2 linked regions of the Astyanax mexicanus genome follow. The protein of the gene in region 1 interacts with the protein of each later gene in a pairwise test. Links are inferred from orthologs where the notes say so. Each region holds a gene or a part of one and is shown on either strand. Other genes may lie near its edges. The genes, in order: klhl42 and stxbp4.

What was found.
Region 2: the proteins of klhl42 (region 1) and stxbp4 interact in a two-hybrid assay, tested with the Homo sapiens proteins (2 studies listed by BioGRID and IntAct). The two-hybrid records come from large-scale screens. The link is inferred for Astyanax mexicanus from reciprocal best matches to the Homo sapiens genes KLHL42 and STXBP4.

What each region holds. Positions count from the first base shown.
Region 1 is NC_064409.1:37,366,608-37,379,118, reverse strand, and holds klhl42 (kelch-like protein 42), read right to left. Parts: upstream 4,659-12,511; 5' UTR 4,325-4,658; coding exon 3,558-4,324; intron 2,842-3,557; coding exon 2,648-2,841; intron 1,687-2,647; coding exon 1,229-1,686; 3' UTR 407-1,228; downstream 1-406. Other genes in the region: cwf19l1 (CWF19-like protein 1), read left to right, coding at 5,961-5,983, 6,609-6,693, 6,786-6,870, 6,963-7,064, 7,241-7,455, 7,549-7,664, 7,835-7,919, 8,017-8,163 and 5 more. UniProt on the Homo sapiens protein: Substrate-specific adapter of a BCR (BTB-CUL3-RBX1) E3 ubiquitin-protein ligase complex required for mitotic progression and cytokinesis. The BCR(KLHL42) E3 ubiquitin ligase complex mediates the ubiquitination and subsequent degradation of KATNA1.
Region 2 is NC_064422.1:33,824,000-33,836,860, reverse strand, and holds the start of stxbp4 (syntaxin-binding protein 4), read right to left. Parts: upstream 5,048-12,861; 5' UTR 4,620-5,047; intron 4,470-4,619; 5' UTR 4,453-4,469; coding exon 4,391-4,452; intron 2,686-4,390; coding exon 2,612-2,685; intron 345-2,611; coding exon 249-344; intron 161-248; coding exon 91-160; intron 1-90. Other genes in the region: cytochrome c oxidase assembly protein COX11, mitochondrial, read left to right, coding at 10,812-11,105, 11,238-11,393, 11,757-11,882, 12,013-12,195. UniProt on the Homo sapiens protein: Plays a role in the translocation of transport vesicles from the cytoplasm to the plasma membrane. Inhibits the translocation of SLC2A4 from intracellular vesicles to the plasma membrane by STX4A binding and preventing the interaction between STX4A and VAMP2.

The sequences.
Region 1 (12,511 bases):
AACTGTTCTTTTTTAAGTAAACAGCTTTTAATTGAAATAGAATCATGGGTGTGCAGGCTGAGTGGTTTAGCTAATATTAACAATAAGGTAGACCAGTTCAGGTCAACCTATCAAAAAAAAAACATGCATGTAGTCTTAAATAAATATAAATTACACATAAATACATATGCAACATGAAAATTCATTTAAATGCAATCTTGAATCAGATGAAGGCTGGGCCTCAGCATTTCTATCACCAACAATAATCTGTCAGAAAAATGACAGATTCAAATGAAAATGAATCAGACTGTAAATACTGATTTAAAAAGGTTGTGTTCCAAAAAATATTTTAGAAGGCGTTAACAGAGAGACTCATGTTCATTTAAATACATGTTCACTGAAAAAAGTCAAATAAAAAGGCACTATATCTGCATCCCCTGAATATTTTATTGAACATAAAATAAATTCTTTTTCAAGGCATCTGTGGCAATATTTAACACTGTCACCCTTTAGGCTGGAAAAAACTAAAAAAAAAAAAAAACAAGATATTAAGAAACCTTGAAATAATTATAAAACAAAAGTATATATATAGAACTGCATTCAGGAGGGCCACCTATTCTGTATATTTGCCCCTTTTTTGTTGGTTCTTCCACTTTTAGGCCCTCATAACATCATCCATTCAAAACAAGATCACAGCTGTTTTGGTCAAGCTCTTTGTACTTTTTTTTCTCAAAAGGCCTGAAAATTCAAGGCCTATAATAAGGTAAGGTTTTTATAAAGCTTAAGCAGTAGTTATTAAGACTATTTATGCTTCCTTATCACACTCTTAGTGTTCCATCATAATTATGGCCATGTAAAACCAAAGCCTTTTGCTGCCAATCGACTTGTGCGTCAGTAGTACATTTGTAATGTCTGTATTCGGAATACAGATTGTAAGTACATGCATTGCCATTAGTAGTTTTTGTGCAAGTTGAACAAATGTATTGCACAGTGCATTTGCTCCCATAGAAAGTGTTTTAAGTATATTTACACACAGCATAAGCCCTATACTTAATGCAAGTGTACCTCAGCAACATGCTCCTAACATGATGCTCACTGAGGTATGGTGGATAGTTCCTTAGTTATTAGTGTAAACAACAGTCATTGACCTCAATTTTTGGGAAACCTTCAATCAGTCTTTGAGCCCCATTCATCTTAGCAACCTTGGCCGCTGCTTTAGAAGACCAGCTTTCGTGTCGTGCTTTCCGGCTCACAGGACGTTGGGTAGGTAGAGGGAGCACAGCAGCATGTTCTGACCCAGTACAGGGAAGCGCCGGAAGGCCTCCCAGGCATCAGAGAATATGTTGTACTTGAGGAAGACACGGTGCTCCAGGCTGGTGGGCAGGCTCACGTCACGGCTCATTATGTAGATCCCGTCGTTGTGGAGTGTGCAGGTGAGGTTCAGGCCCGACTTGGATGTGTTTTCTTTCAGCTGCAGCCACTCCCCCGTCTGCACGTTGTAGGACTGCACTGTCAGCATATCCTCCGTCTGGCTGGGCCGCCGCTGACCCCTGGCTGTGCACTCCAGCTCGTGTGTGTAGCCACCCACCAGGTAGATAGTGTCCTCCAATGAGAGCATCTGCTGCTTGCGTACGTGTGCTGAGCAGGTACGGAACACTGACCACGTGTCTGAGGTGGGGCAGTAGCGCAGAACGTTGGTGTTCCTGTCTGCAAGAATAAAGAAAGGATATTTTTTTTTAATTCAAACTTGAATTGAAATATATTTGTATTTTTAAGTTTCATATAATAACTACATGATTTCATAATAATATTTTTATACTATTAATAATAATATTATTTATACTGGCAAAAATGTATATGAATTGTATTATAAATCATTTGTCTATTAACACAAGGTATGAATCCTATTTACTTTACTGCAGACAGTATGAGCCCAATATATTTCACATCTGTTCAATTTAATTTCATTACTAATATATACATCTATTCCTGCATTTTAGGCCTGCATCACATTCCAGGCATATTAGGACTTGTGGTAAATGAAACAAATAAATGAATTCAGATTATCATGATTTGAAACAAAAGCGGCATCATGTTTCTCAATAAAATATAGGAGAACAAGAACCAGCAGTCAATAATACATAATAGAAGGGCAAGGAATAACCATCATTACAACAATAATTACAACAGAGAGTTGCATTCATAAACAGCATTTTACTGTGCAAAACAGAACATTTATGGTAACCATATCCAGAGGTAGAGTCAAATTCTTTGGAATCAACTGAATCTTGTATGAACTATCACACAGCGAAAACATACTAAATGATTGTGCACACATTAACTTGAGTCAATGCATGCGTTTTAACATGATGTTGGCCCACCCTTTACAGCTTTAGTACCCTAATCTTTGTTGGGAAAGCTTGTTTTCCTGTTTTTAAATATGTGACACGCAGTATTCAACATTGCTGATGACTAACATTGCTGATGACTAAGTGACTAATCCAAGCAACTCAGCACAAAACATCAACAGGACTGCACCATTCCAGAAAAGTTCTTTCCCAAAGTTCTTCTCAAACCACTATACTTTGATTTGCAGTGACTCATTGATATCGCAAAGCAAGCTCCTGTTTATGTGAGCAGCCTCTTTCTAGAAAGACCGTGTACGCACCTCTGGCTGTGTAGCCTCCCATGACGTAGATCATTCCTTGGCATTCGCAGGCAGAGAACTCAGCCAGAGGGTCAGGCATGGAGGAAACACAGTTCCACCAATCCTGCTCAGGACTGTAGCACTCCACTGTACCTAAACAATGTCCGCCCACTGCATACAGCTTCCCACTCACAGCCACCAGCTTAAAGTTTGCCCTAAATACAAACATAACACTGGTCAAGAAGAAGAGCCCTTTTTGAACAGAGAAATTTCAATAATTAACAAAATTGCATGATTAAGATGGTTTGGAATGGTTTGTTTGTTCAAGAGCACGGGTGTCCAATCTTATACACAAAGTGATGGTGCAGCAGCAGGTTTTTTAATCCAGCGAAATAGAATCACATTTTATTAGTATTTAAAAACTGATTAATTGATAAAAATTGGAATCCTGGTTTATGCTACCCAGTGATGGTCCACACTGGCATCTGTTAGGTGATCAGAGTATCTGCACTTTCCTGCAGTGGTTGGCTACACATGTGTCTGATGAGGTGAGTGCTTGTCCTCATTCTCCTAGTGTTGGGGGAATTACTAGTGACAAGGGGAGTCCTAATGAGTGAATGTGTTGTTTAATTTGCCTTCTAAATTGGGGAGAAAAATAATAATATATAATATAATACTATAATAATAATAGAATGAAAACCTGCAGTCGAACCTACCCCTTGCAGATAGAATTGGAGACCCCTGTTCTACAGAATCGCAGAAGCTTATCCACAAAAACTGATTACTCGAAATGGTCATGAATACACTGACCCTGTCTAAAACAGATTTCACCACTGGAAAGAAATATGATTTCTCTACAGTAAACCATGTCACTGTATAGACTTTTTATCCAGTACTTTCTCCTTTGTGCCTGACAGAACGATGCAGATACCTTTTTTGGTTCAGGGGTGCTATATGCTGCCATTCGTTTTTGCAGGGATTGTAGCAGTGGGCGGCAGAGATCTCCTGACTCGTCATTCTGTAGCCGCCGACGATGAACAGGTAGTTGTCCAGCACCGCGGACCCGTAGCCTCGGACGTTGACCATGTCTGGGGGCAGGTTGTTAGCGAGCGGCTTCCAGCGCTGCTCCACCTCCCCGTACCTCAGCATGGACCACGGCTCGTCCTGGTCGGCGAGGTCCAGGCAGGTGCCCATGAAGTCTCCTATGGCCACCAGCGTGGCAGTGCCCCTCATGCGCATTTGCCTGACCTGCTCCCTCAGCGAGGCGGGCAGGAGCTGGAACTCGGGTCTGCGCAGCATGGGGTGAAAGTGGCAGCACATGAACTTCAGGCAGGCTGTCCGCAGGTCGTGGGTCCCGTAGACCTCGGAGAGCTTGAAGAGTTCCACACAGTTCTCCAGACGGATCTCGGACAGGAGCAGCTTCAGGATGGGCGTCACCTGGAGGAAGGAGGCTGTCTCGATCAGGTCCTCCAGGGTCTCGTTGGCGACCTGCACTTTGGAGGTGTTGATGAACTCCAGGACCAGCTCCAGGCCGGGCCCGCTCAGGCCCTGCAGCTGCACCGAGTCCTCCCCGGACTCCCTCATCCCGGAGCTGTACAGCGCGCGGAAGTAGTCGCTCTTCTCGATCAGCTTGCTCTTACTCACGTTGTACGTCCTGTCGTCCATCACGATCTCGATGATCTGCTCTGCAGCGGACATGGTCACGGTGTTTGTGGCATGTGACGAAGGCAAAGGGCACTTGTTGGTGGGCGAGATCAGGTTTACATCTCCAGCAGCTTTTCCTGGTGCTCCTGCTTCTACTGCTGAGTCCCGTCTCTTCTGAAGCCGAGCTATATAACTATATATGGAAATGTTTGGGCCCGGAGCTTAAGGGCTGACTCTGCTTCCAGACTCGACTCGTGTTCGCTAGCTGCTGACTAAGTTGTGGACTAAGAGGGAGAAATAATAAGACGGGCGAGTGTGAAATCCTGTGGTTGTGCTCCATATCGGCTCGGGCAGAGCTGAACACAGAGCGCTGAACACAGAGCTAACGCTCGTTACCGTTAGCATTATTATTATCTTCTCCTTTAATCAGCTCCAGACAGAGAGCAGCCCTGCACCAGAGACCTGCTCCCCTCCACTGCCTGTGAGCGCCCCTCCTGTGAACACATGTCGAGAGATAATGTTAATATTACACAGTGAAAACTATACAGCTAGCTAACCCAGCGTGTTTACCTCCTCATACCTTTTAGCCAGTCCATTTAAACCAGTTCCTGTTTTGGTCTCGGGATGTTCCTACGTCACACTCAGTCTGTGTCTCAAACCCATAAACAACACTGCTCACTCGTTGCTTTGCTGCCTACGCTGCCTCACTGTGTTTTTAGAAGGCAATGTAGTGATTAAAGGGTCTCTGTATCTGATTCAAAAGGGAAATGTGTATTGGCGTTACCTCGGTATGGAGAGTTCAGCACTAGCAGTGAGTGCTTATTTGTGTTTTCTTCATTGGTTATTAGCTAGTGGCGGTTCTAGACCATTTTTAACAGTGGTTATGTTAGAGGAGCAGCTTATAGTGCTCTGCATGCATTATGAAAAAAAAAGTCTGCATTCAATATCATTCAACATTTCATACATTTATACAGTTTTTAGTTACAAATTCACAATTTCTATAATCTTATATTTCTCACTTTACAATGTTATTGTCTAAGTAGTAGTAGGTAGCATGTACTTGGTTTTGGACACAGCCAGCTGCTCTCCTGCCGTTTTTGCGCATTTCTTTTTTTAGTCGATATTTGAAACCTGATATCCAACTTACACACTAGCACGATTTCTAGAACGTTTAATTTGATTAATTTTGTATAAAATAAAAATGCTTTAACATGTACAACAAAATATCAAGCTGCTCATTTTAACAAGTATAAGCACATTGTGCGTTTAAAGCGCGCATGATTGATACGGAAGAAACACTAAATGTTAATGTTGGTTCAGCAGGATAACTCTCTCGGGTGGAACCTTTTAGGGGTTGAACAGTTTTCTGTGTTAATTTCTGCAGTAAATATCTCCGCTCTCTCGGCTGATTTATACGGTTATTAATGTGTATCGAGGCCTTGTGTTTAGGTATTATTATAGGTTACTGTATTTAGCCGAAGCGCGTCTCTGCTGTAACTCTGAGCCGCGAGCCGGTCAGGATGTTTCCCCGGTGTGGAGTAGGGCTGTATTTTGTGAGCGGACCCTGAAAGCGTTTCAAAATCAGAAGAGAAACAGCTTCACTTCAGCAGCTCGAGGGAAACTGGTAACTTAGTTTATCAGGAGAAGGGAGGTGATCAGAGCTCCAGCGCCGCGCTGTGTGTGTGTCGGGATGGGGGAGAAGCCTCTGAGAGTGTGAGAGAGAGTTCACTGTGTTCACTACTGTATTTACACTAGTCCGAGTCAGTCCACAGCTGAGAACACGCGCTGCTGTTTCTGTTCTTATGAACGTTTATTGTTGATTTCACAGCGCAATTCACTTTAATATGTTCTTTATTTAAAGTATTTTTTAATTGTGCACCTTAGCTTTAGTTCGAGTTAATTGATTTTTATTACAGGGTTTTAAAGAATAGCGTTAGCTAGCTAGCGTTTACGTTACATACCATTTCAAAATAAAAGTCAGCCTAGTTTAAAATGGTAATTATATGTCGTTTTTTCTTCTTTTTTTATAATTTCGTTTTTGATAAATGTAGTCAGTATAAAATCCAGTGCTGAGATATGAAAATAATAAAAATGCAAATAATAGAAATTAAGTTATAATATACTTTTTTTTTACAAGATTAATCCACTATAGTTTGTACTCAAGTCTAGCTTTCATTAAAGAAAAAAAATCTAATAAAGACGTTACTTTTTTGTGATATATTACACCCTTGTTTGATGTTCATAAAGTTGTCTCGAATTATAGTAATTTTATAGGTGTTTTTCTTTTTCTTAAATAATATATTTTGCTCTTCTCTAATTTTGGTTTGTGTTTCTTTAGGCTTGCCTGTGGAGACGTCGAAGGCAAAATCACTGCTTTGTTTAACCGAGTAAACACAATCCAAAAAAAGAGCGGGCAGTTTGATGTAAGTCTGTTTTGGACAGTGTCTGGTTAAATAAGGAAGTTGATGCACCTATTACAGTCTCTCTTTTATTTTAATTTGTATTTCTTTAACAGTTATTATTATGCGTTGGTGAATTCTTTGGTACCTCTCCAGAGGCTGAAACAGAATGGGAGGCGTACAAGTCTGGAGCTAAAAAAGGTATTTTACTCATTGTCTGTTGAACCTGAATTTACATAACTGAAATCAGCCTTCAGTTCTTTTATTAAAAATGGAGAAATGTTTTGCTTCAGCTCCCATCCACACATACGTTCTGGGGGCTGCAAGTCAGGAGACTGTGAAGTATTTCTCCAGCTCTGATGGTTGTGAATTGGCTGAAAATATCATCTACTTGGGTAAGAGGCTTGTCTTATTTTTATTTACGTTTGTTTCTTATTTGTTTTATATATATATATATATATATATATGTATATATGTATGTATATGTAGAGAGAGAGAGAGAGAGAGAAAGAAAGAAAGAAAGTCGTGCAGACTGTTTGTTGACTCCTGTACATCATGTTTTGAATTTTAGGGCGCAGAGGAATTTTCACAGGAGCTTCAGGTCTTCAGATTGCATATGTGAGTGGCAGAGAGGCTCAACATGAGCCTGCACCTGCTCACTGCTTTACTGCAAAGGATCTCATAGCTCTGGTCACTCCCCTGGTGTCCAACTCGAAGTTTAAAGGAGTTGACATTCTCCTGACCTCTCAGTGGCCTAGAGGAGTGTGGCAGTTTGGCAACAATCCTGTAAGTACTTTGTAGTAGAAAAAGTTGATAAAGTTATTAGTGGGCAATGTTTATAGACCTGTCTAAATTTTATACTTATTGTTGTTCTTTTAGGAAATTGACACAAAGTTCTGTGGAGTTTCCTCCATTGCAAATCTTGCAGAAAAGCTGAAACCTCGCTACCACTTTGCTGCACTGGAAGGTGTTCACTATGAACGACTGCCATACAGGTTAGCTACACTTTCAACCTTTTCTGAAAATTTTAATGTGTGACAAAATGACTGTTTTAAATGTCAAAACTAGAACTTGTATCATGATATTTAACATTATTAAGATTACAACTTTATGTAATCTTGTCATTTTTGTTTGTATGTTCTATTTGTACTTTTTTGTTAAACAGAAACCATTTGGTTCTTCAAGAAAATGCACAGCATGTCAGTCGATTCATTGCACTGGCGACAGTTAACAATTCTGCTAAGAAAAAGGTAGAACATTTTCCCTTTGCCCACATACTGTGAATGAAGATTGAGTTACGGGATGATATGACTGAAATTTTTTTTGTTTTGTGGCTGTTTCTCTTAGTACTTGTATGCTTTTAACATTGTCCCGATGAAAAATATGGATGCTGCAGAATTAGTCAAACAGCCTCAGGATGTGACAGAGACCCCTTACAGGAAATCTCTAAAAGAAGGCAAGATGGAAAAGCCTCCTCCATCTGTACTCGATGAGGTTTGTATATGTTACTGTTGGATATTTTTTAAATTTCAAGCTAGCACAGTTTTGAATTAACTTTTAGGTGGCAGTCATTTTTTAATTATATCCTGAAGAATTTCCTGCCAAAGACATGATGAATACACCTAGGTATGGAGTAACTGACAGTCTCTGTAAGCCTTAAATATAACAATTTTTAATTTGTCTGTTATAATAATAACAATAACAATAATAATATTAAGTATGGTGGTACTGTAAGGCTTGTTGGTAACATTTTACTGTCATTATTTTAATTTTGTTTATAATTATTTACTGTTCTTTTCTGGAGTATGTCTCGTTGAATGTATAATGTTTGCATTTAATATAAAAAGCCAATAGAAATATTTGAATAAAACTAAATTACCATCACTTAAAATCTAAAATAAAATAAAAATAAATAGAATGAACTCTTAAAACATTACAGAGTTGTTTCCCAGACAGGGATTAAGCCTAGTATTGGACTACACTGAGTTTTAAATAAAGATTTCCTATTGAAAGGGAATGCCATTGGGCATTTTTTGCTTTTTTGCTTTTGTTCATGTACATTTGTTCTGCATCTTGTTTTAAAGTATCACTGCCTGTGTGGATTAAAGACTGTGGGTAAACTTCTCTGTTGTGCAGGAGGAGCCTGCTTCTCAGTTCTTCTTTGATCTGGGCCAGAAGAAGCAGCAGCACCACCGGCACCAGCACAACCAGGGTGGAGGCCGGAAGCGGCATTCAGAGGACGACAGATCTGGTCAACCTAGGCAGCACCGCAAACCCCGTGAGTTGAACACACCTATCGTAAACTAATTATTAATTATGCTGAATTTGCATTTCAATAAATATGTGTGAATATTTTTGTCATTGGCATACATTTGCTATTGTTTGCATGATTTTTGCTATTGTTTGCATAATTGTCCCGTAAAGGATTGACTGTTAAAAACAAATCGGTGCAACCTGATTTACCTTCTTTTCTTTATTTCACATAACTGACATTATTTCACATGTTGGTTAATAATAATAGTCTCCTCTAACACTCAGCTCAGCCTACTGGACCCTGTTGGTTCTGTTTAGCCAGCCCTGAGGTGGAGAAGCACTTGGTCATCAGTATTGGGACACATGTAAGTTATCCCCCAGTAATCCTCACAGACATTGACTCCAGCTCCAGTTTTAATAACAGGATGATTAAACAAGAGTGTCTTGATTCCACAGTGTTACATGGCAATGGCTAAGGGCTTCCTCACCCCTGACCATGTGCTGCTGTTGCCCATCGGACACTACCAGTCTGTGGTGGATATGCCATCAGATGCTGTAGATGAACTGGAGAAATACAAGAGTGCTGTCAGGAAATTCCATAAGAGCCGTGGTCAGCGCTGCGTTCTGTTCGAGAGGAACTACCGCAGCCAACATCTTCAGTTACAGGTGCTTCCCTCCTTGTACTGGGGTCCTATATAGTCCTATATTGTCTCTGTGTTTGGCTCTATTGAGGAATACTGGGTGAATGTAGCTAGGGTTGCAGCGGTAAATGGTTTCACAGTATACCATGGTATAAAAATGCACGGTTATTATATCATGGATGTTTGATTGACCAGTGTTTTTGAGAACAGAAAATGTTCATGCATAACACCTTTCCACCTTAGCCATCACTTAATCTCAGCAACTGGTAGAAAAAAGAAGAGAAATGAAACTGATTTGATCTTCATCCCTATGAACAAAACAAGAAAAACAAAATTAGCAGCAAGTGGTCATAATTTGGTCATCCCCAAAATGAATATGGGTTTCCTCATCATTGATAACAACAGTAAGCAAGTAATCCAGTGCAGAAAACAGTTAGCATGTAACATACTCCCAGCCTGCTGAAGCTGAAATCATTGTGCCTTTAACCAGTTGAGACTAGCTGTTAGCATTGCGGATAACTTGCTACTATATGTTAAATAGCATATGTTCCAAATAACCTACAGTCAAGATAAACATATCTTTGTGATCAGAAAGTGTTACCCTGTCTAAAAAGCCATTGGCCTGTAAACAGCTATCAGCTAAGATCCAGCTCAGCTAATTTTTTAGTTGGGCTGCAACTAATGATTATTTTAGTAGATCACTATCTGATGATTATTTGTTCGATTAGTCAGTGATTGATTTTTTTTCTGCCGTGTCTTCCAGATTTAAAAGGCATTTAAATGTCTAAATGTTGTTTAAATGTGGAAAGTACTGATGTTTAGTGATTAAATATGTAATCTGTTGTGTTTGGGCACTTTTGGAGACACAAACTGAGTTCAGTGTAAACTGTGTGAGTGAGGCATTTACCTATCTCCCATTGTGCTTCCGTCCCCAGCGCTTTGCGCAATGCAGGACTGTTACAAGTTAACGTTTAGTCGACAATGAAATTTGTAGTCGACCAATGTAATAATCAACAGTGTTGAATATAACGACTAATTGTTGCAGCCCTACTGTTCAGTTATTGGTTTAGGTTAACAATGAAATGCTTGCGGATTGTGATATTGTGATGTTTTCTGAGACAGTAATCATACAGTGAAAATCACATCTCATACCGTTGCAACCCTAGGAGTAGCCTGCATTTGTGGTTGCTGCCCAAACGGGCGGCCTCTTGAGACCCAGGGTCAGTCCAGCAGCACCACATAAATTATGATTTTGGGCCTGGCAGAACTTATCTGCAGTATGAGGGAGATTTTAAAAGGCTCTATTCTTCCCCATGTGAAGGCTCACATACATTCAATCATCAGTTTAAGTCTGAGCAGACAAGCAGTCTGTCCTGATGAGCAATCCAGTCTGAGGGACTCCAAGCTCCCAATGATGACCATCATCATCATCATCATCAGATTTAACATAGTATTATGAGTAGAAATAATGATTAGCCTGAACAGGATTTACAAAGCCTATTATTCTGTAGCTAAGCCCCATGTTTTCCAAAGTGCCTGTCTTTTAATCTTAGCATGTGTTTACTTTAGAAACACAATAGTCGACTATAGTCTGAAAGTTTACCAAGTGTACCAACTGTAATTCCCACCCATGTCACCCTCTGGATGGTAGGTGGTGCCTGTGCCGATGGAGAAGTGCAGTACGGAGGACATTAAGGAAGCCTTCGTGGTGCAGGCTCAGGAGCAGCAGATGGAACTGATGGAAATTCCAGAGCACACAGACCTCAAACAGGTACATTTAGCCACTTACTTACAGAAAAGTGAGGAGTAAAGGTCATTTAAGAATAATTTTATTGCCTTTTCCATAATTTCCTAACATGTATTCCAAGGTTTTCTGAAACTTAAGTTGAATCAGGGTTCACACTAGTGCTGGGTGGTATACTGGTTCATCTGTTATACCAGAGGGGAAATTAAAACCGGTATGCATTTTTAATATACCGCCATACCACAAGAGGCGCTGTGGAGTGCTGTGTAAAACAGTACAGCCAAAAAAGCACACTGGCACAGCTCGCTAACTAACGTTAGCCAGTTAGCATAACAAGCTTATACACTGGAGTAATGTGGAGCCAAACGCTACGTCCTGCCTGGAGAAAAATGCAAACAGCACTTTATCAGAGGAGTTACTGATGCTGTTTCGTAATGTATGAGTGTTTTTATTTGAGTAAAATACAAAACCAATAGCAATTATTAATTCAGAAAAAAGACAATTGGAATAACTCAATCGATCCACAGCTTGGCGAAAAGTTCCTCTTGTCCCCCAGATGAGCCCAGAATCGGTCCTGGGTACAGAGTCATTCGTTTAGTACAAGTGACAAAACTCTCTAAAACCCTGGATACGAGGTGTAAAAAAAACTCAAGAGCAGTAACTATAGCCCTTTAAATGTATACATACTGTAGCTTGAATGATAGTTTTAATGCTTTTTTATGTATAGGGCAAAGCATTTGTGAAACCCAAACCCTTCCAGTCCTCTCACTTTAATTAAAACATTCTCTGCTCATTAGCTCTTGGAAAAGTAATAAAAAAAGAAATTTATTAACAAACAAGCCACATTTCATTAGTATCAATGCAGAATTTCAGCATTTGAGAAGGGCAAGTATAAACATGCTGTATCCTGTTTTGTATTGGTCTTGGTTGTTAGTATTAAGTCAGGCTAAAATAATGATCAAAAGAAATTTTGAATAATGAGTAAAAGTGTTACATTTGTTTTTATTAATTTTTGGAAGTAAAAAGTTTAAATCTGGCTTTTTTCCTTGCTCTGTTTTAAAGATTGCTCCACCAGGAACTCCTTACTTCTATGTGGAACTGGACACAGGAGAGAAACTGTTTTACCGAATCAAGAAGAACTTTCCATTGCAGTTTGGCAGGTAAACAATCCAATTTGAAAGAGTCTTTGTACACAAATAAACCT
Region 2 (12,861 bases), on another chromosome or scaffold:
GTAACGTGGAGATTTGCTGGCAGAGTGTCATGAGATTCTTTCCAGTGTTTCGTATGGTTTGTGTCATCGATGCTGGATTAGTGTGCATACCTTTCGTTCGTGACACCCCCTAAATTCATGTTGTTGACGTCTAGAATGAGGTCACCGGCTCTGAGTCGTCCTGGCAAAAACACATTCGCATTATTCCAGTGATCATCTTAACAGAAAGACACTTATCAGGGTTAGGAAATGAGCAAGTGCCAGCATACCGTCCTGTGCAGCCACGCCCCCAGGTAAGACTCGCTTAATGAAAATGCCAAACTCTTCACCACTCAGCTCTCTGTAACCTCCAATGATCTTCACCCCTGGCAGAAGAAAGCAAGGATAATCACTGGAACAATGGGGAACGCACAAGAAATATATCACCTGAGTACTGATACATAGAAAATATGCAGCAGAAAAGAGTGCTGAAAAAGGATTATTGAAGGCAACATCAATGAAAATCCACTGTTTATAAAATAACTTCAATAGCTAGTTGTTTAAACCATTTATTACCATTATTCCTTAACAAAGCAACTTTTAGCAGTGCTAATGCAAAATGACATCGACTTTTTCTAATTAAGTCCTTCCAACAAATTTATATCTGTCATATATTAACCATTTTTACCTTAAATAAAAAAAAATCACATTTTCATTTTTTACAGTTAAAAAAAGGTAAATGTAATGTACAAACCAAAATATAAAAAGTTTTTTCTTTTTTATTTCTTCAAGTAAACTTCATTTTATTTGTTGGATGTGTATCAGGTCATAAATGCAGAAATGGATTTATATTAATAAATTAAATAAAGTTGCAAACATGAAATATCAATCAATCTTACAATCAAATATAATTAAAGCAATGTGAAACACTGCCTTTTCTCCATACCTGCATTTTCCAAACTGACCCAACCTTTTCTGATTTTGGGGTTGTACATGTAAAGCTGTCAAAAAAAGTAAGAATAACTGATATTTTCTATAAGGAAGTGATAAGATATATACAAAATACACGTCCCCCAAATCCAAACTAAAATAGAAGTTTGCTTCAATTTGCTGTACCACCTTAAAATAAGACTACCTTTATAAAGGGTTTGTAAATGGTTTACAATTAGTTATAACACATATGTAGAAAGGGCAACAATTACCTGTTGTTTGCCAAATAGTGAACCCACAGCCATCTATACTGTTGCCCTTTTTACGTATGTGTTATAACTGATTGATTTTTAAGGCATTTACAACCTAATTAGTAACCATTAATAAACTAATTGTAAATCATTTATAAACCCTTTATAAAGGTAGTCTTATTTTAAAGTGGTACCCAATTTGCTGGAGTAACACCCTGTACTTTTTTGGAAATGCTACACTAGATGTTAAAACACTACTTATAAGGATTAGATTGCATTAAATCACAATATGTGTGCCCATTCCTGGTTCTGGTGAACTTCTAGATCTTTAAAACCTCTCAAGGTATTCATTACCAAGATCAGGGCTGTGTCTAAAATGCAAGAATTGCAGACTTGATGCCTTACCTATCTCCTTTTGAAGGAAGTGTAGTGATGAAAGTCTTTAGTGTATTGTAGTGATGAAAGTATCTCAATCAAAATGACAAAAAATGTGTCCTGATATTGCTAAAGTATAGACTATGTTTAGCTGTGTTGCCTTCCTGTGTTGTCAGAATCTTGGCTGAGTGGGCAGAATTTCTTACATTTCAGATGCAGGGTATACCTGCAGGATAGTAACTCACTAGTACCACATGGATTTGTGGTGCTCCATCACTACACAGTAAATTTGACAAATATTTTGCACTAATTTTACACTAATAGTTTTAATTTAACAGGTTGTACAGAAAATCAGAGACATTACTAATCAGCCACTGTTTGAAATATGAGTAGGAGTTCTTGTAACACTCTTTATGGTGCCTGTTTACAGATAAATTGTGCAAATAAAGCCCTTCAACAAAAAGAGGCAAGTAGCTTGTTGGTTCTGCCCAGATCAGGGGTGGGTCAAGGTGCTAGAGGACAAAGCTCCCCCCAATTTGGAGATCAGTGCAAGTGCAGTAGCCAAAACAGGCAAAAAATATTATGTTTTTTCTACATTTTTGAGCCAAACACTACATTCTATTGATGAGGTTTTGGTCAGATCATAGCAATGATTTAAAATATGCTTTTAATCAGCAGTTTCGAATATTTTGGTCTTACATGACTAGAGATAATTGCCTGCCAGCATTGCAAAGACGACTGCTGAGTGAACAGACAGGCCTATTAGGACTTCTGTTGGTAATGCTTTTCTTTGGAGACGATAAAATCTGTGTGCAATTGTCAAAAACAAAAATACCTTCATTGCTCACGAATCCTTGATTCACTTATCACATATCGTTCATCATTTTAGAATCTAGTTTTAATTCCCTGTTCAATTTGTTTTTTATACATAAGCTTCTCTCTCTCTCTCTCTCTCTCTCGCTCTCTCTCTCATAAGCTTCTTTCTCTCTCTCTCTCTCTCTCTCTTCATATATATATATATATATATATATATATATATATATATATATATATATATATATATATATATATGAATATATCCATGCACTGAACTTTACCAAGTCCTTTTCTGCAGTCTGAAAACTCCAGTCTCTGTACAGCACGGTTGATGCCGTGGGGTCCCATGATGGTCCTGAAAAACAGACAAAATCAGTTGTCTGAATGTGATTACAACAGAAAAATAGCTTACCTTTTTACATTTGAGCCCTTTCAACAAACAACCATATGTCAACCATTTCTCCCTTTTTTGGGAGAAGTCACTTATTTTCTTTACTATTGTAAGTTATTTTATATAAGTTCCTTTATGAACGAAGAAGAAATATAAAACATTTATTTTTGTGTGCTAAAAAAATAAAAATTGATTTCTCCCATAAAGAAACAATGATTGATATCTGGTTAATGGGAAGGGCTAAATTCTAAAGGATGGTCTTGTCTTCTGAATGCAGATGAATGAACAGAGAAATATAGTAATAGTAATCCAGAATGACTCTAAAAATAAATACACTATTGAAAGTGATTAACCAAAGTAAGTAGGTTACTGCACTTAGGTTTATTTCATACACGCTGCTATGCAAAGGTAAACACTGCTGCTATTGGAAAAGCGTGCCTTCAATCTGGTAAACTACAGCCTGATCTCTGTTGAATATAATCCCCATAACAGACAGAAAGAAACACGATTCAAAAGCTCCATGCTTATCTAGGCCGTTGACTGTGGTACTGAAAGAGCTTTGAAAGGCATGCGAAAAAAACAAAACATGTATTTAAACATAAAGCAAATTTCAAACATGCAAATGTTTCATCGATTGTATTTATAAACACGCATGAACTGCAGAGCACTGTCACAGACTCAGTTTGTACTTGAATGGAGTGTACAAACTGATGAACACCAGTCACGTGAGTTCATGTAGCGGTCAGGTGGAAATGAAGGTAAAGGCCAGCTTAGACAAGCAAAAGTACGAATCCTGCTCGTAGGTAAAAAGTGTGACTCGGATCAGATGATCCTACTTAGTAGGGTACCATCCCCCTCCCCAAACAAGCTGTAAACCCTCCACTATAATCTTTGTGTGTGGAGCTACATGGCTAAGGAATGAGGAAAGATGAAAAGAGCAACAGTTGGAATGGAACGGAAGTGGTCAGCCCCTTCCATCATCAGCCATCTACTAAGAAATCTCCATTACAAGTCACAGATTAAACTGTAAAAAGAAGCATCTTCTCAGGTTGTTGATCACTGGCTTTAAAGCAACACTGGCTAAAGAACAGCTGAGGCATTTAAACTGATCACTTAATTCAGTCTAATCTTTCCACAAGCCACATAAGGATACACGCTGAGAAGTGTACCGGAGCCATGCTGAGTGCTCTAACCAATTAAAGCCTGTATATGAACTTCATTAAGACCTGTTACTTGTGTTTTAGTGCTTCACACAGATAACCTGTTTTGTTCCCAAGAAGCCCCCCCTTCTATCTCATGCTCTTCTAAATGTGTATCCTCGATCATATAAAGTCAGACAGTTGAAGACTGTGCCTGTGTGAATCTCTGCTGCTTTGCATGAGCGTAGGAAATTTAAAAGATCCTCATATCCAACGAAAGTGGATCCATAAATCCATGCTTAAACTGCACAACCATGCTGCAAATCCCTTCATCCGCATAAACACAGCTCACCTCAAACTCCCTGTCACATTCACTCTCTTGTATTTACAGACAATTACAGATATTTCATTTACAAATGACTGAACACAGATAAAACACATCACATACAAAATGCAGATTTCCAAACATTCACAGCTTTGTTAAATCTGCAGGTTTCATACATCAAAAAAAAAAAAGAAAGACAGCCTACCAGTAAAGCAGGGATAGTCCGTCAAAGCGCTCTGCCTCCGCTGACTGTGGCAGCAGTGGCATCGCAGGTCCAAAAACAGCTGATGAAATATTATAAAGGCAACCTCATCACTGGGTCGGGGGAGATGACGGTTCAAATCAGGACGGTCTAAGATGACCGAGAGACAGCAATCTACCCAGACAGATACAGACATGCGCCTACCTATCCACTAATCTCCCCTGATACCCACCAGTCACATGGTGCGCTTCACCTCTCCCTCCAGTGCCACCGCTGATGATGTGTCTTCCTCTACTAGCAAAACAAAGGACCAGACATTAAACACTTAGACACCAGCAGGGCATGTCTTCAGAGAGGTATGTAAATGAGTAAATTACAATACATAAATAATTCCTAGGCACTGGGTACAGTAAATAAAATAGACTGAGTGGGACATTTTATAATTTACATCTAACAAATACAGACGATAAATAAACAAATGACTTACCATTAAAATATCCTGAAATCTGACAACAGGCTTCAAATACAAAATGTACTGTACAGTGTGTAATAACCCAAAATACAAGTGATAATGCATTGCAGGTACCGTCCACATGGTGGCACTGTGCCAGGAACACAATAAGCAAGAAAGTGTCAAATCATACTACCCTGACATGTGTGTGTGTGTGTGTGTGTGTGTGTGTGTGTGAGAGAGAGAGAGAGAGAGAGAGAGAGAGAGAGAGAGAGAGACACAGAGAGAGAGAGAGAGAGAGAGAGAGAGAGAGAGAAAGATAAAAATTGGGGGGTTGACAGAGAGTGAGAGAGAGAAAGAGAGAGAGAATCCAAGCAGAATAAATGCAAATAAATAATAATGCACTTAAAACAACACAGAATAAATACAATAGAAAATGAATGCACAAATATAAAACACAGAACAACATACATACTGAATTAGATTAAGTACTGATGATTATATTTACTTTAGCTTGTGAAAATATATTAAATGCATTGTTACTGCATGGTAGATACTGTTCACTAATGTTCACTTAGCATAAACAATTTATAAGCTTGTGTAGTTAATCCTTGCTGTACTGAATTGCGTACTATGTTTTACCTTTACTTCTGATGACTCCATCAACCTGGAGGAGTACACAGACTCAGTGACTGGTTACATCAGCAAGTGCATTGAGGATGTTACTGTCTCCAAAACCATCACATCCCGCCCCAACCAGAAGCCGTGGATGACTGCAGAGGTGCGTGCGCTGCTGAGATCCCGAGACAAGGCCTTTAAGTCAGGGGACAGGGCTGGCCTCCGAACAGCTAGAGCCAAGCTCTCCCGGGGGATCAGAGAGGCAAAGCGCACCTACGCAAAGAAAATCCACGCCCACTTCCAGGACACTACTGACACTCGGCGCATGTGGCAGGGCATCCAGACCATCACCAACTACAAGTCACCCTCCCCTGCTTGTAACAGTGATGCCTCCCTTCCAGATGCACTGAACTCCTTCTACGCAAGGTTCGAAGCATAGAACTACACGACAGCAAGGAAGACTACACCTCCTCCAAACGACCAGGTACTGTGCCTGTCCTCAGCTGATGTGCGGAAAACTCTACTCAGAGTCAACCCACGGAAAGCGCCAGGACCAGACAGCATACCTGGCAGAGTGCTCAGAGGATGTGCAGAACAACTCACGGATGTTCTCACGGACATTTTCAACATCTCTCTGAGTACTGCAATCGTGCCGACGTGCTTCAAGACGACCACCATCGTCCCTGTGCCGAAGAAGTCTCAAGTGTCCTGCCTTAATGACTACCGTCCCATTGCACTTACTCCCATCATCATGAAGTGCTTTGAGAAGCTGGTCATGAGGCACATCAAAAACCAGCTCCCGTCCTCACTGGACCCTCTGCAGTTTGCGTATCGTCCAAACAGATCAACAGACGATGCCATCTCTACTGCGCTCCACCTGGCTCTCACCCACCTGGACAACAAAGACTGCTATGTTCGAATGCTGTTCATCGACTTCAGTTCAGCATTCAACACCATCATCCCTCAGCATCTGATAGGAAAACTGAGCTTGCTGGGCCTGAACTCCTCCCTCTGCAACTGGGTTTTAGACTTCCTGACTGAGAGACCACAATCAGTCAGGATTGGAAACAACACCTCCAGCACCACCATACTGAGCACCGGCGCCCCCCAGGGCTGTGTGCTCAGCCCACTGCTGTTCACTCTGCTGACTCATGACTGTACTGCAAAGTACAGCTCAAACCACATCATCAAGTTCGCTGATGACACAACTGTAGTTGGCCTCATCAGCAAGAACGACGAGTCAGCATACAGAGAGGAGGTGCAGTGGCTGACGGACTGGTGCAGAACCAACAACCTATCTCTTAACGTGGATAAAACCAAGGAGATGGTTGTTGACTTCAGGAGAGCTCCAGGTGTCCACCACCCGCTGAACATCAACGGCTCTGCTGTGGAAATTGTGGATAACACCAAGTTCCTCGGTGTTCACATTGCAGAGAACCTCACCTGGTCCCTCAACACCAGCTCCATAACCAAGAAAGCCCAGCAGCGCCTCTACTTCCTGCGGAGACTGAGGAAAGCACATCTCCCACCCCCCATCCTCACCATGTTCTACAGAGGCACTGTAGAAAGCATCCTGAGCACCTGCATTACCGTCTGGTTTGGGAATTGCAACACCTCAGACCGCAAGACCCTACAGCGGATAGTGCGGACAGCTGAGAAAATCATCGGAGTCTCTCTTCCCTCCATCACTGAGATCTACACCACACGCTGCATCCGCAAAGCCACCAGCATTGTGGACGACCCCACCCATCCCTCACACGGACTCTTCGCTCTGATGCCGTCCGGCAGAAGATACAGGAGCATCCGAGCCTCCACTACTAGACTCTGCAACAGCTTCATCCACCAGGCAGTCAGACTTCTCAACGCACAGAGACAGAACTGAACCCCCACCCCACCCACCACTCACCCAACACACTCGCACAAAACTAAACTGTACACCCCCCCCCCCTTTACACAAAACTAAACTGTACACCCCCCCCCCCTTTACACTCACAAAGAACTGAACTTCACCCACACACACACCCAGTCAGCACACAGAGGCTGACATGACTTTATTTGCTGCACTCTTAAAAACTATAAACTCTACCTCAGTAACTGCTGTGATTATATATGTTCTATATGTTACAGTATGTCACACATCTCTGCACCTTATCCCCACTATACACTTTATTATACCGTATCGGTACTGCACTGTCCTGTCTTTAAATTGTCTCGTCTTTTGTATTTATTGTATTTATTGTTATTTAGTGTTATAATTTTATAATTTTATGTTGCACTGTCGTCACTCCTGCACTTTATGTTGTCTATTGCTTGTGGTTCTATGTTGCACCATGGTTCCGGAGGAACGTAATTTCATCACACTGTGTACCTGTACTCAGATGTAATGACAATAAAAGCCTCTTGACTTGACTTGACTTAAAGCCATATATTTAAAGCCATTTATTATTTACTTTATTAAATTAGAAAATAATACTTAATTTGTTTGGCTTAGCCTTATTGCTACAGCTATCTAAACAGATAGGCAGCTATAGACACTGTGTAATTGTTTTACTTAGCACAGTAAACATGATTGGATGCTCGTTTGCAGTGACAATTCTTGGTAATTCATGCACACAAATATATATTTTTTTCTTGTTAAAGGGTAATGAATTTTGTTAATTTATATAAATGCATATATTCCTTTTGATGTTTTCATATTTAATTGTTTTTTTCTGTATTTTTATTTTTTTCTGTATTTTTACATATTTTAATAATTCAATTTTGAAGTTTAAAGAAATTCAAATGCAAAAATAGAGAATATATTTTTTTATATTTATTCTGTGCTTTATGATGAAACTGAAGAAATAAAAATGAAAAGAAATCTAAATACATATTTTTATACTTAATTCTGTGTTTTATGATGAAACTGCAGAAATCAAAATGCAAAACCAAAAAAATATTTTCATATTTAATTGTTATGATGAAACTGCAAAAATTCAAATGAAAAAAATAAAAAATATTGATATTCTAATTTAAATTTGTTTTATGATCAGGCAGAAGGCAGAAATTAAAAACTAAATAAAATTACATATTTTTAAATTTTATTCTGTGATTTATTATGAAATTGTGGATTTTGTTTTTTCATTATTTTTGAATTGTCATAATGAAACACAGAATTAAATATAAAAAGATATATGTATGTATAAACCTAAATATAAATAAAGTATACATACATCCACATTTGTACAAATATTTAGTTTTTTGTAATATTTCCGCGGCTGCTGGTCTGCGGCAGCAGCGGGCTGAGCGGTGTGTAGGAACTACAGTAGCGCTGCTGTGTGTTCCGGGGAGCAGTGCGGCTGTAGGAACAGTGTGTCTGTAGCTTTAGCAGGGCTGTGTGGAAAACCCGAGCGGTCATTTGTCTCGGTAAGAGAGATTATGGGCTGTTCTGGTACTGTCGCTTTATTTCTGCAGGTTAATCAGGTCTCGGTGACATTATTCAGCTCTGTGTAAAACTCTGAAGGCGAGGAGGAATACGCTGAAGTCGGCAGCGTTAGATAACTGACCTACCGCTAGCTAACCGGCTCTGGTCTAACCCTAGCTAAAACAGGTGGATACAGTACTAGGTTATATTGCAGGTTAACCTAAACGAAGTAATATGGTTTATTTACTGGCTGCGTCGTTAGTGTCGTTATACCAGTCAGATATTATATATATATATATTACTTTTTGATGTATTTTATTCCCAATAAGTGTATCTAACTGCATTATAAGGTGTTAAACAGTATTGACAGTAGAAGAACAGTACCTAGACAGTCAGCCAGTTACAGTAACAGTAAGGTGCAGATGTTTTTCTATAAAGCTATATTTTTCTATATATACAGCTCTGAAAAAATTGAGACCACTTTAGTTTCTGAATCAGATTTTTCCATTTATAGGTATATGTTTGAGTAAAATGAACATTGTTGTTTTATTCTATTAACTACAGACAACATTTCTCCCAAATTCCAAATACAAATATAGTCATTTAGAGCATTTATTTGCAGAAAGTGAAAACAAGTTCATATTGATAAAGTTTTAATAGTTTTAAAATATATAATTAATTTGTTAAACTTAAGAACAGGAACTTAAAGCTCTGGCCAGTCTAAGCAAAGCAGTAAGCTAAATAAATTAATCAAATAAAACAACAATAAAAGAAACCATTTATTTTATTGTTTGTATACAGTTAGTGGAAAGCTTGTTTCAAAGGGTATACCGGGGTGTCTAGATTTTCTGTAAGTTCTAAATATGTGTATCAGCATCGGCAGATATATACATGTAAAATGTTACATATCAACATCGGCCCAGAATTCCCCGATAGGCACATCCCTACTTTTTTGGAAATGTAGTATTTTTGGGCAACTTAACTATAAACACTTTTTGTAGAATATATTCTACTTTAGCAATAAAATCAGGATTTTTGTGTATTCTTTAAAAAATGCTTTATAAATGTAACTCTTTGCTGTAAGCAAGGTACAGTAGTTGATTACACTATGCTGAACTTGATGACAGTACTACATAGGCATTTACAGACTGTTTCATGTGAGTCTTTCTCTAGTTGGTTTGTTTACCAGGTAGGACATAAAAAGTCTAAAGGTGTTGATACACCCCTTCTAATTAGAAGTTCTCAGCTACTTTACAGCTTGCATAATCCCCTTGTGGTGGTTCAGTGGGAGTGCACTTGAATGTAAGTGCACCATGACCAATGTCAAGTGCTGACTAGAGGGGTATAAAGCCACATAACACTGGGCTATGAAGCAGTGGAACTGCATTCTCAGGAGTGATGCAGATCTATCCAGTACCTCTGGGATGAGTTAGAGTGGCATGCATGATGCAGAACTAATCATTTAATATTGCCTCCTGACCACACTGTTCCTGTGACTGAATGCAGTTTGATATTTATAACTACAGTGGTGCAGGAAAGGCAGTGAGCTCTTCATAATTCTATATGTTCTATATTTCTGCATATATACCTAAAGTCTATTTGTAGTATACTTGAATGTGAATGTTGTCTTATTTGTTTGGCTTTGTTTTCTTTTTATCCACGTTTAGCACATATGTATTTATTTGCATGTATGTGCAGATTTTTGGACATTTAATGATTGATTATGGGTTTATTATGGTTATAAGCAACATTTATTCAAAACAATGTGTAGTCCAGGACAAGTCTTAAATCCCGATTAGAAACTTGGTCTTCAGTGTATTTATAGTCTGTTTCCTTTTAATAAAAAATACCACTGTAAAAATGTTAATGTTAAAATGCTATTTGTTTTGTTTGTTTGTACAGGTTGGTAAAGGAACTGTCTTAAAGAATATTTCCTCTAGAGATTGGGAGTTATGCTTCTTTCTTTTGCCATCCGTAAATGCTGTGCAAAACACTGTGTACAGCTAGCTAAAAACCTGAATGTTCGAGGACTAGCCACCTCCAGCAGCCAGCTCTTTGGCAGGAGAACATCTCAGCGTTTTGTTAACCAGACAAGAGGAGCTAAAACCAACAGAAAAAAAACACAAAACCAAGAAGATGATTGGAAACAGAGGAATAAGACTGCCCTCACATATATCGCAGCAGCCGGGGTTGGAATGATTGGCTTGACATATGCTTCAGTGCCACTCTACAGACTATACTGCCAGGTTAGTACTGGGTGTCTCATTTATGGTTCTGACTATTTCTCGCCTTAGCCAAGGATAAATAACCCAAACGTAGTCTCACTGTGTCTTAAAACTCTGCACATGAATGATGATGATGATGATTCTTTACCTCAGGCAACTGGACTGGGTGGCACAGCAATCGCAGGACATGATGGAGAATTAGTGGAGACCATGAAGCCGGTTAAGGACCGCGTTATAAAAGTCACCTTCAATGCTGACACACATGCCAGCCTCCAGTGGAACTTTCGCCCTCAGCAGTCAGAGATCTATGTGAGATAATAAAAACCTTAAATTAATACTTCATTCATTTTAGCATATTGTTTCTGTCAGAACAAAATTTTGTTTTTCCAGAAAGGTAACTACAAAAAAAATATATACATTAGGCATGTTGGTAAAAATAGTACGTTTGGGCCATTTCTATTCTACTATACATAATGTGTAAAATACCAATGGAAGAACACAAACAAAACAACAATACAAATATTGCTTCTGACTGGAACGGTATGAATATAACGTTGACTTTCAAATTGTATTATATAGTCCCTCTACTTAACAATTATAATACTTAATTTTAATGCACTCTGTACTGTAACTTTGACTAACTAAGTCAATGATGTGCATTGTGTTTTTCAGGTTGTGCCAGGAGAAACTGCTTTAGCATTTTACAAAGCACGAAATCCCACAGACAAACCGGTTATAGGAATATCTACCTACAGTATTGTGCCGTTTGATGCTGGGCAGTACTTCAACAAAATTCAGGTAATGGATAATGTATCAGAATGGATAGTGTACTTGAACTCTCGTTCTAACCTAGGCTCAGTCCGGATTTGGTCAGATGTCATTTTTTCTGTCCACTGAAATTAACTGGGTTTTTCATCTTCCTCCACAGTGCTTCTGCTTTGAGGAACAGAGGTTAAACCCTTACGAAGAGGTGGACATGCCTGTGTTCTTTTACATCGACCCAGAGTTTGATGAGGACCCTAGAATGGCCTGGGTGGACTCAATCACACTTTCCTATACTTTTTTCGAAGCCAAAGATGGACAGAAATTACCGCTTCCTGGATACAGCTAAATAAGCAGTACATGATGCTTTATTCAGAGACTTTAAATTTTTATTAAAACTTCAAGAAATCTAATAGAGTGTCATTGATAGAAAGGATATAATTTGTTAAAGCCTTTTTATTAATGTCTACATGCTGTCTGTGTAATAACGTGCTCAAGTAATAACATGTTCATGTAAAATTCTACTTTAATCAACATTTGGATTAAACATCAGCTTTAAAAGCTGTGCTGTACACTGCAAGAAATGATTATTTCGGGGTACTAGAGTGCATGTAAGTGAAACAGTACCTGTTTTAAGACAGTAGGGGGTGGGATTGTTGCAATAATATGAAATTCTCTAGGCAGCTCAGAAACAATTGCGAGCAAAAACAATGTCCATGTCGGTCTCTTAAACATATTATTGTGTATTAGAGCTCAGAGGCTTGTTTGGGTTATAATGTGATCTGATTTTTATCGTGTTTGACTTTAGGGACACAAATCTGCATGATTTGGATGTTACACAACTGTAGTGGAGGTAGAGATATCTGCACTTACATAACGAGTGATCAGGCAATCTCGATGGCACTCAAACTGCTAAACAACGCTTTGCAAGGCTATAAAAAAGAGCTGAACTGGAAAAACACATTTGAAATTCTTAATGTATTTACCCTGCACAATGAGGTGGCCATTAAGAATA